Linked DNA regions of Schizosaccharomyces pombe. The gene in region 2 interacts genetically with the main gene of each other region. Each region holds a gene or a part of one and is shown on either strand. Other genes may lie near its edges.

Region 1 (4,606 bases), on a different chromosome or scaffold from region 2:
AGTGAGCATTGCAAAAAAATTTTAAATGGAAGTAGACAAATTGACTCTTTTCTGCAATGTTCGGAGGAAATAGTTCCTTTCTGTATAATCCTTATTTGAAAGTTTAGGATTTGCGGAACCCTTTTTTTTCTTTTCCACCCGGTCCGATAGTTGTAAAGGGGACAAATTTATTTTTGTCCGTTTACAAAAATAAAGAAGTAAAGCAGTGTAACTAAAGGGGAAAACATTGAGTTTTATGGTAAAAGATCCTATGTTCCATTAAACATCGAAAAAGGTTTGTTGGCTTTGAATTTGAATGAAGTTACATGCAGTTAAGTTAGCGAAACGATCGATTGGAAATTCCTAAACAATCGGTATGGTATGGGATGGGACTAAATAATTGGAGGAACTTGCTATAAGGTAATTAATAATATAAAGAAGCCGATAATATACAGTATGGTAATAGAAACAAAGCAATGAATCTTGCTCAGTCATTACTAGTTTGCTCTCTAGGGTTAAATTAGTTGGATCAGTAATTTTCAATCGAAACAAAAATATTTAAATAAATACGAATTATGCTTTACTTAGATTTATTATTGTTTTATTTTTATTTATTGCTCTTTTCATCTTTTTTAGAAGTTTTATTGTCTTTCATGTTTGGAATAGAATTTTTTCCCATTAAGCGGCAGTACTAAAAAAAAATTATTTCGATGTCTTTTAAAACCTGAATGATACTATTATATCTCTTTAAACTACTTTTATTTCTAGCACTTGCCATGTTGTTTTGTAATATTGGCTTTACCAGCCATTTGACTTTTTCTTTGTTTACACTAACATCACCGCACCAAAGCGTCAAGAATTTACTGCAGAATTTTACCAAAGAATGTAGAAACTAATTTTCTTTGGAAATTCGGGATTGCATCGATGCACAAGTCACTGACTTCTATAAATACAATTGTTTAGCAAGCTCCCTTTTTTTATTTTCAATAACAGGTAACACGTTTGGCAGGTAACAAGGAGACAATTAATCCATCACTCCAGAAACATATTAGCATTCCCCCCCGATTTAAACCTGGCCTTAACTTACCACCAATTTTTTTTTGCTTAAGGCAATTGGTTTTGTGTTTGTTAACATTCTAATTGTAAGACCTTGACGAAAAACTGGTTTTAAAGGATTTTTTACTGAGCTAATTTATTCGTTTATACGGGCTTTGTTCATTTCGCTTTTGGTAATCTCACTTTTTTTTGGTTTCCAGAGGCATTTTTAAATTTCAATACTTTTTCTTGAGTTTTTGATTTTTGCTTTCTTTTTAGTTTTGCGTTGACAAGTACTGAATTGTAATCTTTATCGTGGATTTAATTAGATTCAAGTGATTTTTAACACCTACATTGCCAAGTAGTATTAAAGTATTCATTTCATTGGTTTGGACTAGTTATATACTTCAAACTGGTGTTTACTTCCTTCTTTCGCTTCTTTTTCTTTCTAAACTTTGCTATATTTTGCCTTCGTTCGTTAGGTTACTATTTATTTACAAATTGAACCTTTTCATATAGGTTCTCTACAGGGATTTTCTTACCATTACTTATTGTAACAGATTTCTTAGTTGAGAGAATATTTTCACTTGGGGGGGTTTTTTTTCTTTTTAATTCACCACACGTATCTAGGTTTTCTACATTCTCTTGGATACAATCTCTTTTATTGCACAGAATCTTCTTTGATTTTCGTCTAATATTCCTACTGTCGGTTCTTTTACCCTTCCTGTTTCTACTTTTTAAAAGCTCTCATATATCACTCATCACCATCCTTTCTCTAATTTTATCTTTCGTTCACTGCTTAATTTTGCATTTCTAAGGAAATTCTCCGTTCCTTTATCATTTTATTTTATTTTGTCTCTTCTATATTATTAGTTTACTCTTGATTATTTGACAATGCGGTTCGCTCCTTATTTAATTAGTGCTGTTGTAATTACAACCATAATCCTGGGTGGAGCTTGGTGGACTTCAGCTATGGATACCAAGCTTCAAACGAAGATGAAGGAGATCATCGACCAACACACGAGTACTTGGACCCCAGTCGTTTCCTCCGTAACCAGTACCCAAACTGATACTTTACGTGTTACCATTAGTGAAGTTGTTAGTGTTACTGCCACTTTAACCGAAACTTTCACTGCTACTCCAACTGTCACTTCTGTAGTTCATGCTTTAGCTACCACTGATCCTCATCCGGATAACTCTAAAATCGTCATTTTGATGGGCTCTAACTTTCAAAATGATGCTAACTCTCCTCTCCATCCTTTCGCTCAGTCCATTATCAAAAATCGTCGTGAATATGCTGAACGCCATGGTTACAAATTCGAATTCTTAGATGCCGATGCCTATGCTTCTCGTGTTACAGGTCATTTAATGCCCTGGGTTAAGGTCCCTATGCTTCAAGATACGATGAAGAAATATCCTGACGCTGAATGGATTTGGTGGCTTGATCATGACGCGTTGGTCATGAACAAAGATCTTAACGTCGTCGACCATGTGCTTAAGCACGACCGATTGAATACCATTTTAACTAGGGAGGCTGAATATAAGAGTGGTGCAGGTATCCCCGCCGATGGATTTAGAACTCCAAAGGATCAGGATGCTAAGGATGTTCATTTCATCATCTCTCAAGATTTTAATGGTATTAACGCTGGCAGTCTTTTTATTCGTAATAGCGAAGTTGGCCGCTGGATTGTTGATTTGTGGTTTGAACCCTTATATTTGGATCATATTCAGGGATATGCTGAGCAACAAGCGTTTTCTCACATGGTATTTTACCATCCCCAGGTGTATAAACATGTAGGTGTTGTCCCACTTAAGGCTATAAACGCATATGATTTTGATGATAATATTTGGGGCTATGACGACGGGGACTTGTGTATCCATTTTGCTGGATGTAACTATTTTAAGAATTGTCCCGAGAAGTTCCTTAAGTATGCTCAAATTTTATCTTCTAAACAAGGATCCGATTGGATGTCTGCTCAAGAAAAGGATCATATTCAAAATCTTTTGAAACCATCATCCTAGTTTTTTTCAGTCACGCATGGAAAAATACCTTGTACTTTAGACTGGTTTAATTTCATGATATTTGTCATTTTACTCAAGAACAACGTCTGTCCAGTATGTTGGTAGTTTTCTCAATTTTTTATTATCGGGGATAAGCAAACTCCTTCTTTCATTACTAATCAAGTCATTTAATTATCCTCCCCTCCTTAGTGAACACCTTAATAGTTTCTCCCTTTTCATGATTTCATGAGCTTAGTATCATTACGTTCAGGACCTTCTAATTTCGTGTTGGAGGATTTTAGTGTTGTCTAATCTATTTCCTTTTCTAAAGTCAAGTTTTGTATCGTACTTTAAGTACAAAGTTCGAGTTTTGCTGTTACGCTTCAAACCGTTTTATTTAATTTTTAAACCCCAGCCTTTCTTGGAGTAAAATGTTAGTAGATGACAAACTTGTTAGGGGTTTGAATGAATTTTCATACGCAGAATGCTGCTTTCTTTAAAATCGGGATGATTTGAAATGTTATTTGAAATGTTGAGTTTTTTGTAGCCTACATTACGATTGTACGGCTTATAGGACAGTGAAGCTATTAAATACTTGATCTAATATGACCGATTACAAGAAAGTCCTTGATAATTTTTCTGCACTTCTTTTGAAGTTGGCAACTTTATGTACAGTATGATGCTCTATCTTTCTAAATAAAGTTATGTCAGGAGTCTTATGGAAATAAAATTTGCAATTCGTCGTAATGAAATCCATTTGAGTGATAATGGCTTTTGAAATTAAAGCATATATTTTTTTTATGCAAAAACAATGAATGAAATATTTGTAAACTGACCAAATCTATAAACCACTGCTTGAAAATTAAACGATTCGAATTTTACTCCTTTGTTCATTGTATCCAAGAACGGCACAACCCCTATATTTGGGTACTATCATTTTTTTACTTTCAAATGGGACGCAATTAAGACCGATTGATTGAATTCTATTAAATTATTATTATATATTAATTTTAAAAATAGTTAGCTTCGTTGTTCTAATTTAAATTATCATTGTTTGATTACAAAAAGTGAAGTGTGTTATTTAAGAAATCAATGTTCCCTCATCGAGTCTCTCATTTATCGAAACTATTTTCGAGAAGGTTTCCCAATTGGAAAAGAAAAGTCCAAACAGATTCTTGGTCCAATGTCCCAGAGCATATTCACTCAAAAATTGGTCGAAACCTTTTTCAAAAAGAAGGTCATCCCATATGCAGTCTACGACAACTTCTCGAACAGCAATTTCAAAAATTCGAAATGAATAATGTTCAAAAAGAATCACCTATTGTTTCTGTAGAGACGAATTTTGATTCTTTAGGATTTCCCAAGACACATGTAAGTAGAAGCAAATCCGATACTTACTATATGAACAATAAAACTTGTCTTCGAACCCATACCTCGGCTCATCAACCTGAAGAGTTCTCTCGCTTGGCCAAAGAAGGATTTAAGAAAAATGGTTTCTTAATAACCGCAGATGTATACCGTCGCGATGAAGTGGATTCTAGTCATTATCCAATTTTTCATCAAATGGAAGGTGCATTGGTGTGGAACAGAA
Region 2 (6,659 bases):
TAAAGTCTCGGCATTGTATACGTATACAAAATGATTTTTCGTTAGAGCAAAGCTTTACATTATTTATCATGGAATATGCCGTCCAAATTTCCTTCCCATTTTCCGAGATTGAAAAAATAGAATGATACGCTGTCAAATGCAATGTTCCGTTCAATTCGTTTCCTTTGTTCACAAACTTCACATTTCCGACCTATTTGTTAATATTTTGATAAAATTAAGTTTTAGATCTAATCGCATTATGCTTACTTTTGCAACTTTGATGTTTTCCATCACACGGAAACTTCTTTTTATAAGCAATTGAATAAAATGAAGCAACCCTCGTACTATCAAGTACTGTGACAAAATATGAGTACAAAGAATTAAATATGTGTTTAGCGCAGAATGTAATTGCGTTCTACTTAGATAGATGAAGGTTTTAAACTATTTACGGTGGTGCTGTCGATTAATGCTGCCAAGTGCATGGCTGTAATCATTGCGGTTATCAAGGCTACAACTTGACATATCATTACCTTGTTTATTAAACAATAGAAAGGACGATTCTGAAAGATGTAGAGGAGTTACACTTATCTTTGGTATATATATGTTTAATAAATTCAACTTTATTAATTTGTGTATCTGACAAAAAAAAACGAGTGCTTGATCAAATAACTCATAAAACCCTAAATATAAAAAAGATAATAAAATAACAATAAAAATAATTAAGTTACAGTTTCATTAACAATTATGCAGCGTAGTCTGCGTTTTCCACAGTCTCGAGTGTCAATAATCTTGTAGCTAGAGTGTCTTTGCCGAAAAACAAAGTGCGGTTCCTCCAATCTTGCGTGCAAGAATCGCAATACCTTTGCATCGAGGGTGGGTATAAATCAAATTCCCTTGCTTTGTCACATCCCAACAGCTCTTGTTGAATGTATTGATATACGGCATCCTCGTGAATTATATATTCGTAATAGTTTAGAGACGCCAAATTTTCCAATATTTTTTTTCTTTTTTCTGCAATATAATTCCGTTTTCGTAACCAGTGACTTTTTTGAGGAGAACTTTTTAAAGCAAATGATTGTAAACTGTAAAAAGATTAGAATAATAATAATAACAAAAAAAAGATAATATAATGTACATGTAATCAACATTTATAATTACATGGTACTACTAACAAACTTACCATTCACTTGGATAAGTGACGTTGGGGTGCAAATAAGTAGGAAGTCCGACTAATAAATCATCAACGTCCTTCATATAAACATAACGAGCAGAAGTTTCAATATTTTTAAACTCATCGAAAACTTGCCCGACAAATTTGTTATTCTGTCGCTCATCCCAGTACTTAGCTCCAAAACAAAACATGAGAGAAAGGTTCAAGATAACCGAACAAGCAAAAATAATAACCAAAAATGAGTGAGAAAATAAATATCTTAGGAAAATGTGGAAGACAGCCCACGGCAGCTTTAGTAGATCAATTGCCAATCCTTGAAGAAAAAGCCACCAATTATTGCGAATAATATCGATAATTGACAGGTTTTTCAATTCACAGTTAAAAGGTATTTTTCTTCGATAAACCATCGATTCATTGTAGTCGCCTACTCTTCCATATTGATTTATTATCGCAATAAGCGGCTGATTTCTTGCTCTTCTAGTTGCCTTTTCCAAAAAGTTGACTTCCGTTTTTATATACTTGATAGCCAGTTTTCTACATTCAGCCTCAATAACCTTTGATATAGCAAAAGGTTTAACGATCCATTCAAGGCCTACAGATATGAGCAATCTAGACTTCTCCCTTCTAAGGTGAGATATAGAAGTTTTTGTCACGATTTTAAAGTAATCTCTATAAGGCAAAGTCCAAGAGTGATGAAGCCATGTCATAATGTATAAATGATAATCATTGCGGACGTCCATTATTTGGCAATCCTCATAGTGGTAAGATTGACATTGACCTTCTTGGTCGTAATTATAAACCTTATAATTGATGTATCGACGACTCAAATTGGTTTTTGGATCTTTTCCCCATGGTAAAAATTCGACATCATCTACTCCATGAAGATTGTAAGCACCAGACAACACGGTGCTTCTATCACCAAAAACAATATGAAACAATGCCTTAGTAGAAACATTGTACACTCGATCAAATACAATATCGTCCAGATGATGAGAACGAACAACTTGGACTGTCTCTTTCGGAAGCATAGCAATCTTGAAGTCCCTGAGGTCTTCCATAAATGAATCATTACTCTCATTCTTATTGATCAAATTAGTTAGCGCTCTACTACTCCTTCCTCTTCGAATAAGGAGATCTTCTTGAGATGGCTGTACCCCATAAGACTTGAGAGCATTATCGTCACCACCCCTTTCAAAGCGTTTTACATCATCATTCAATCTTTTGATACATGACAACAGTTGTATTGAACTGTTTGGTTTATCGGCAATGTAATTGCACAGTAACACATTAAGTCGGTCAGTTAGAGCTTTCGAAGAATCGAGATAGAGACGGAACCTTACAGTCCCAATGTTCTGGATATTCATGTAAAAATAATCACATTTAGTACTAGCAAATTGTTTTACGTTTAAAATGCTAGAAATGGGGAAATGCTCAATGAGGACCAATCCATTGATGTTGTAATATATGTAAATCCCTTTCATAGTGCAATACATTCGACCAGGCATACGTATTTGATCCTCTCTTTTACTACAAACACGGCATACAAATAAAACGGTAGATGCTTCCGATTCACCAAATATACCTCTAAATTCAGCATTCCTCAACTTAAGCTCAGAAGGAAGTTTTTCAATGTGAATTTCTCTAGCTAAACGTTTATAAGAAGGATTTGATAGATCTTCAATGTACACGTTCTGACGCTCTAAAACATGGCCGTAATTGACTGAACCCCAAAAATTTGCCAGTAAGGCGCAAGGAGAATTACCATGAAAAAAGGCTTCCTGGTCCAAAAGGCTGGTTATCGTTTCGTGAGTCAAATTTGTTATCAGTGGTGCATTGACTAGGGTCCATGGAGCAAGCGGATTAAGGAATTTAGCGCCATTTATGGAATTTGAAAGATACTTTGGAGGAGGAACAGTTGAAATTGTGGGAGATCGCATTATAGTTGAAACTTCATAATTGTTTGGACCACATAACAATCGTCCCGAATAAGTACGACGAGGACGATAATTTTTTCCTATTTTCCCCGTAGAGTTTGAGCGCCCATTGACTTGTGGATTTATAATTGATGTAGCTTTAGCAGAAAACGATGGTAAGGTAGGAGACAAGATTCGGTTAGCAGATATCCCGGAATTGATACAGTGTTCTCGAGCGTTATTTATTACGCTGCCCCATTCAAGCATTTCCATGTGAGTTTCGGCTTGCAGAATGTAGCTCACGGACTTCGTTTTTATTTGAAAACAAAATTTCCGATGATTGCTTGGTAAAACAGAAAACTTACACAGAAGGACTCCGATTTTTTCGCTCTCAAAAACACCACCATTGGCATCATTAATAAGATATCCGACATAGCCATTGTCGACAAAAAACCAGTATTTTCTCCAAATTGCTTTGTTATCTGCCTTGCTAGAACTGATATTTCTTAGTAACCACCCTTGACGTTTAGTTGCGTTTGTTTGACATATTTGCTGGGGATCGAAACGATATGCGTCTAAATTAGTTGGTGGCTGTACTCTCTTAAGAATTTCCTTCTCAATTCTATCAAAAACGTTAGATACTATTCTTTTTAGTGAAGGATAAGATTCCTTAAGTTTAGTTTCGTAAGAGAGTAAGCGAATTAGTTGATCATTTATATGCCTATTGGACTCGTGCAGACGATCAGTCAAACGAAACGTTTCAATTGAAAACTTGCAAATGCTTTCAATAACTATGAAATCAATGGATGAGCGAAAGGAGGTAACTCGAACTACGTATTGTAGAGCAACTGTAAAATAACTTTTACGAGCTTCGTATAAAGATTTTGCTTCATCCCGCATTTGCGATAAATCTTTTGAATGTCCAAGAGAAGAATACCTTAAGACTTCCGCATCATACTTGGCTTGCTCGGCTTTAAAGCGATCATTTAATTGAAGCAAAGGCTTAACTTTTGAATCTCGAAATAGATCTAATGGAGCAACAATAAATTTCCGTAAATTTTTAGCTTGTTGAAGTTGCACCATATATGACGACCGAAATAAGTCTTGACCGTGAAGCAAAGCGGTTGTTGCATAATCAGGATCAAAAAATCCTGAAGCAACATTAGAAGGCATAGCATTCAACGACATACTGGCGACAATGGGCTCTATCGCCATTATTGACTCGATAAACTTGTTGCAGCAACATAAGAAATCATGAGACCATTCGTTAAACGCTTTGATTTGATTCCCTAGATAATACATGCTCGCCCTAAAAGACGGAGAATCAATGCTACATTCGTTCAGTAAGACTGGAATAACATGATCCTTTTTTGAAGACGCATTTGCAGGAGCGGCCATGATTTTTCATTTCCTTCTATTAGTTTCCAAAAACTTCAATTCATATAAGAAAGCATTAAGAACGATATGTCCACTCGTCTAAAGGATGATTTTTAAACCGGTATATGCGCTTTCGGCTGTCGGATGCGGCATGTTTGTAGCGGCGTACTTGATGTTTTTGACTTAAGAGTGACGCTGCATTTTTTAACCAAGATGAAGCAATTCGTTATATTAGAATAACGATATTTAAGTACTTCTATTATAAGGTAAACAAATACGAAATAACTGAGTGTTAGAAATTTAATCACAAGGAAAATGTTTCAGCTAGCTAAGGAATTTTTACTTAAAATATATAAGTGAAATGATTCCATCCTTATACATATCATAAATATAAATACATTTACTATTAGAAAAATAAAAGTGCTTTTAATTTTTCGTTTTCTTCTTTTTTAAGTAAAATTTACTAAGAATGAGTTAGCCTTATTACAAAAATTGTGGCACTAATTTGTGAGCATAGTATCTTAATTTATACTTGATGTTTGCACTTAATCTTTTTTAAGTCATTATAAAACAATATACAAATTGAGCACGATCAATAACTGTAATGGTCAGGTTTGGTTGTACTTCAATTGGTATGTAAACAAAATATTTGGTAAAGTGGTTAAATAAATTTTATGAACAGTTAGGAATTATGTATATAGTAAAACAAAAGCATCTCTAAAATTATAAAAAATACCTAGATTTTTCTGTTGTGGGTAAATTACTTGTTACTTTTTTTATTGCCACATCTGGTTGCTATTTGCTTTCAAAATTAATTTTTAAAAAAAAAATTATTATAATGAGTAAAGGGTGCAACCTAGAAACATGTTCAGCTGAGCTTGTTAAAAATATTTGTTATGTTTATAATTTTGAAGTAGTGTATCTTAAGCACTTGCGATAGCGAACTAAATTTTTCTAAATCATTGACATTAGAAATAAAAAAATAAACTACATTATGGTGCCATTTGCCCCATTAGATTATCAGGAACATCGTGCTAGCCATTTGCTATCTACGTTTCTATCAGACCATGTCGGATTTGGTCATACGAGGAAGGGTGTGGCAGAATACCTTGCGGTGGGCGGGTTTGTATGCATTGGGCGATAAAGACACGGGCATGTTGTGGACGGAGCAAATAACACTACTGTAACCAACAAAACTAGTATTTACTTTTCAATTCTTTTTTCTGGAGCACCAAAACTTGTACTCATTATTAAAATTCTAGGGAAATTAATTAGTTGAATTGGTTAGCAATTGACGATTCATTAAATTTCCTGCTATCAACCCAAGGACATGACTTTTGCTCATTAATTTTGTGTTCGTATTTCCATTGAGGGTTTCAAATTACTAGAGTTCATTTTACTTTCGTTGCTTTGCTTATTCGGTTTGCTCTGCGCTGCCTAAATCAGATCACACTTGGTTTTTGTGCTTTTTTTTTTAAAAAATTTCGATTCATTTGAACCGTCTCACAGAAGTTTCACTTTTACATCTTCGTTTCAGTTTCTCGTTCTTTGTTCATAACCATTTTTCATCTTCCATACCTTCCAGTTCATTACTTTTCATTCATTTCATTTCATTCCATGCTGCATGCATTATATTAATCACTAATTGTTTTTCCCTTGTTCGTTCGCTTCGGTAGTTTCTCAATTGATTTTTCTTTTGATTATTCGGGAAAAAATATCTGTTCATTAAAGGTAATACGTTGGTTGCTTTCTCCTTATTACAGTCAGTTTTATCCTCGTATAGTCGACAAATCTATCTACTGTCTCCAATTGTTATAAATTTAGATCCTGACTTAAGTTTACATTACATTTCTTTTTGAATCTTCCTTTCATTTTCGAGGTCTCTCTTTACTTCAATCTTTTTTAAGTCTTTCTTTTTCTTCAACTTACATGCGCCGAGGCGCGAAATGACCTTCAGAATTCCTTCCAGCCAGGAGTCTTCAAATAAATCCGAAAAGGATACCACTGTAAATTCTCCTAACGCTTCTAGTTTCTCCTCTTTCTTTAAAAAGTCTAGTCAGACATATCTGTCCAAACGTTCAGAAAAACTAAATGAGCATAACAGTAAACTAAAGTCAAGCGGATCTTTCACAAGTAATTCACAGACCGACTTGAGTAATTCGCCCTCTTCTAAGAAAAAAAATATTTTTTATCCGATCGCAAGAGCCAAGCACTCGTTT

Evidence for each region.
Region 1: mutations in ltc2 (region 2) and gma12 together harm fitness more than expected from each alone (negative genetic interaction), as found in Schizosaccharomyces pombe (one large-scale study listed by BioGRID).

The regions. Positions count from the first base shown.
Region 1 is NC_003421.2:315,155-319,760, reverse strand, and holds gma12 (Golgi alpha-1,2-galactosyltransferase Gma12), read left to right. Parts: upstream 1-1,908; coding exon 1,909-3,036; 3' UTR 3,037-3,934; downstream 3,935-4,606. Other genes in the region: msf1 (phenylalanyl-tRNA synthetase), read left to right, coding at 4,108-4,606. UniProt on the Schizosaccharomyces pombe protein: Involved in the O- and N-linked oligosaccharide modification of proteins transported through the Golgi stack. This occurs in cis Golgi where the enzyme transfers galactose from UDP-galactose to a variety of mannose based acceptors.
Region 2 is NC_003424.3:2,484,477-2,491,135, forward strand, and holds ltc2 (BAR and PH domain-containing protein), read right to left. Parts: upstream 4,615-6,659; 5' UTR 4,462-4,614; coding exon 1,160-4,461; intron 1,062-1,159; coding exon 722-1,061; 3' UTR 607-721; downstream 1-606. Other genes in the region: ymr1 (myotubularin family phosphatidylinositol-3-phosphatase), read right to left, coding at 1-190, 247-270; guanyl-nucleotide exchange factor Sec73, read left to right, coding at 6,387-6,659.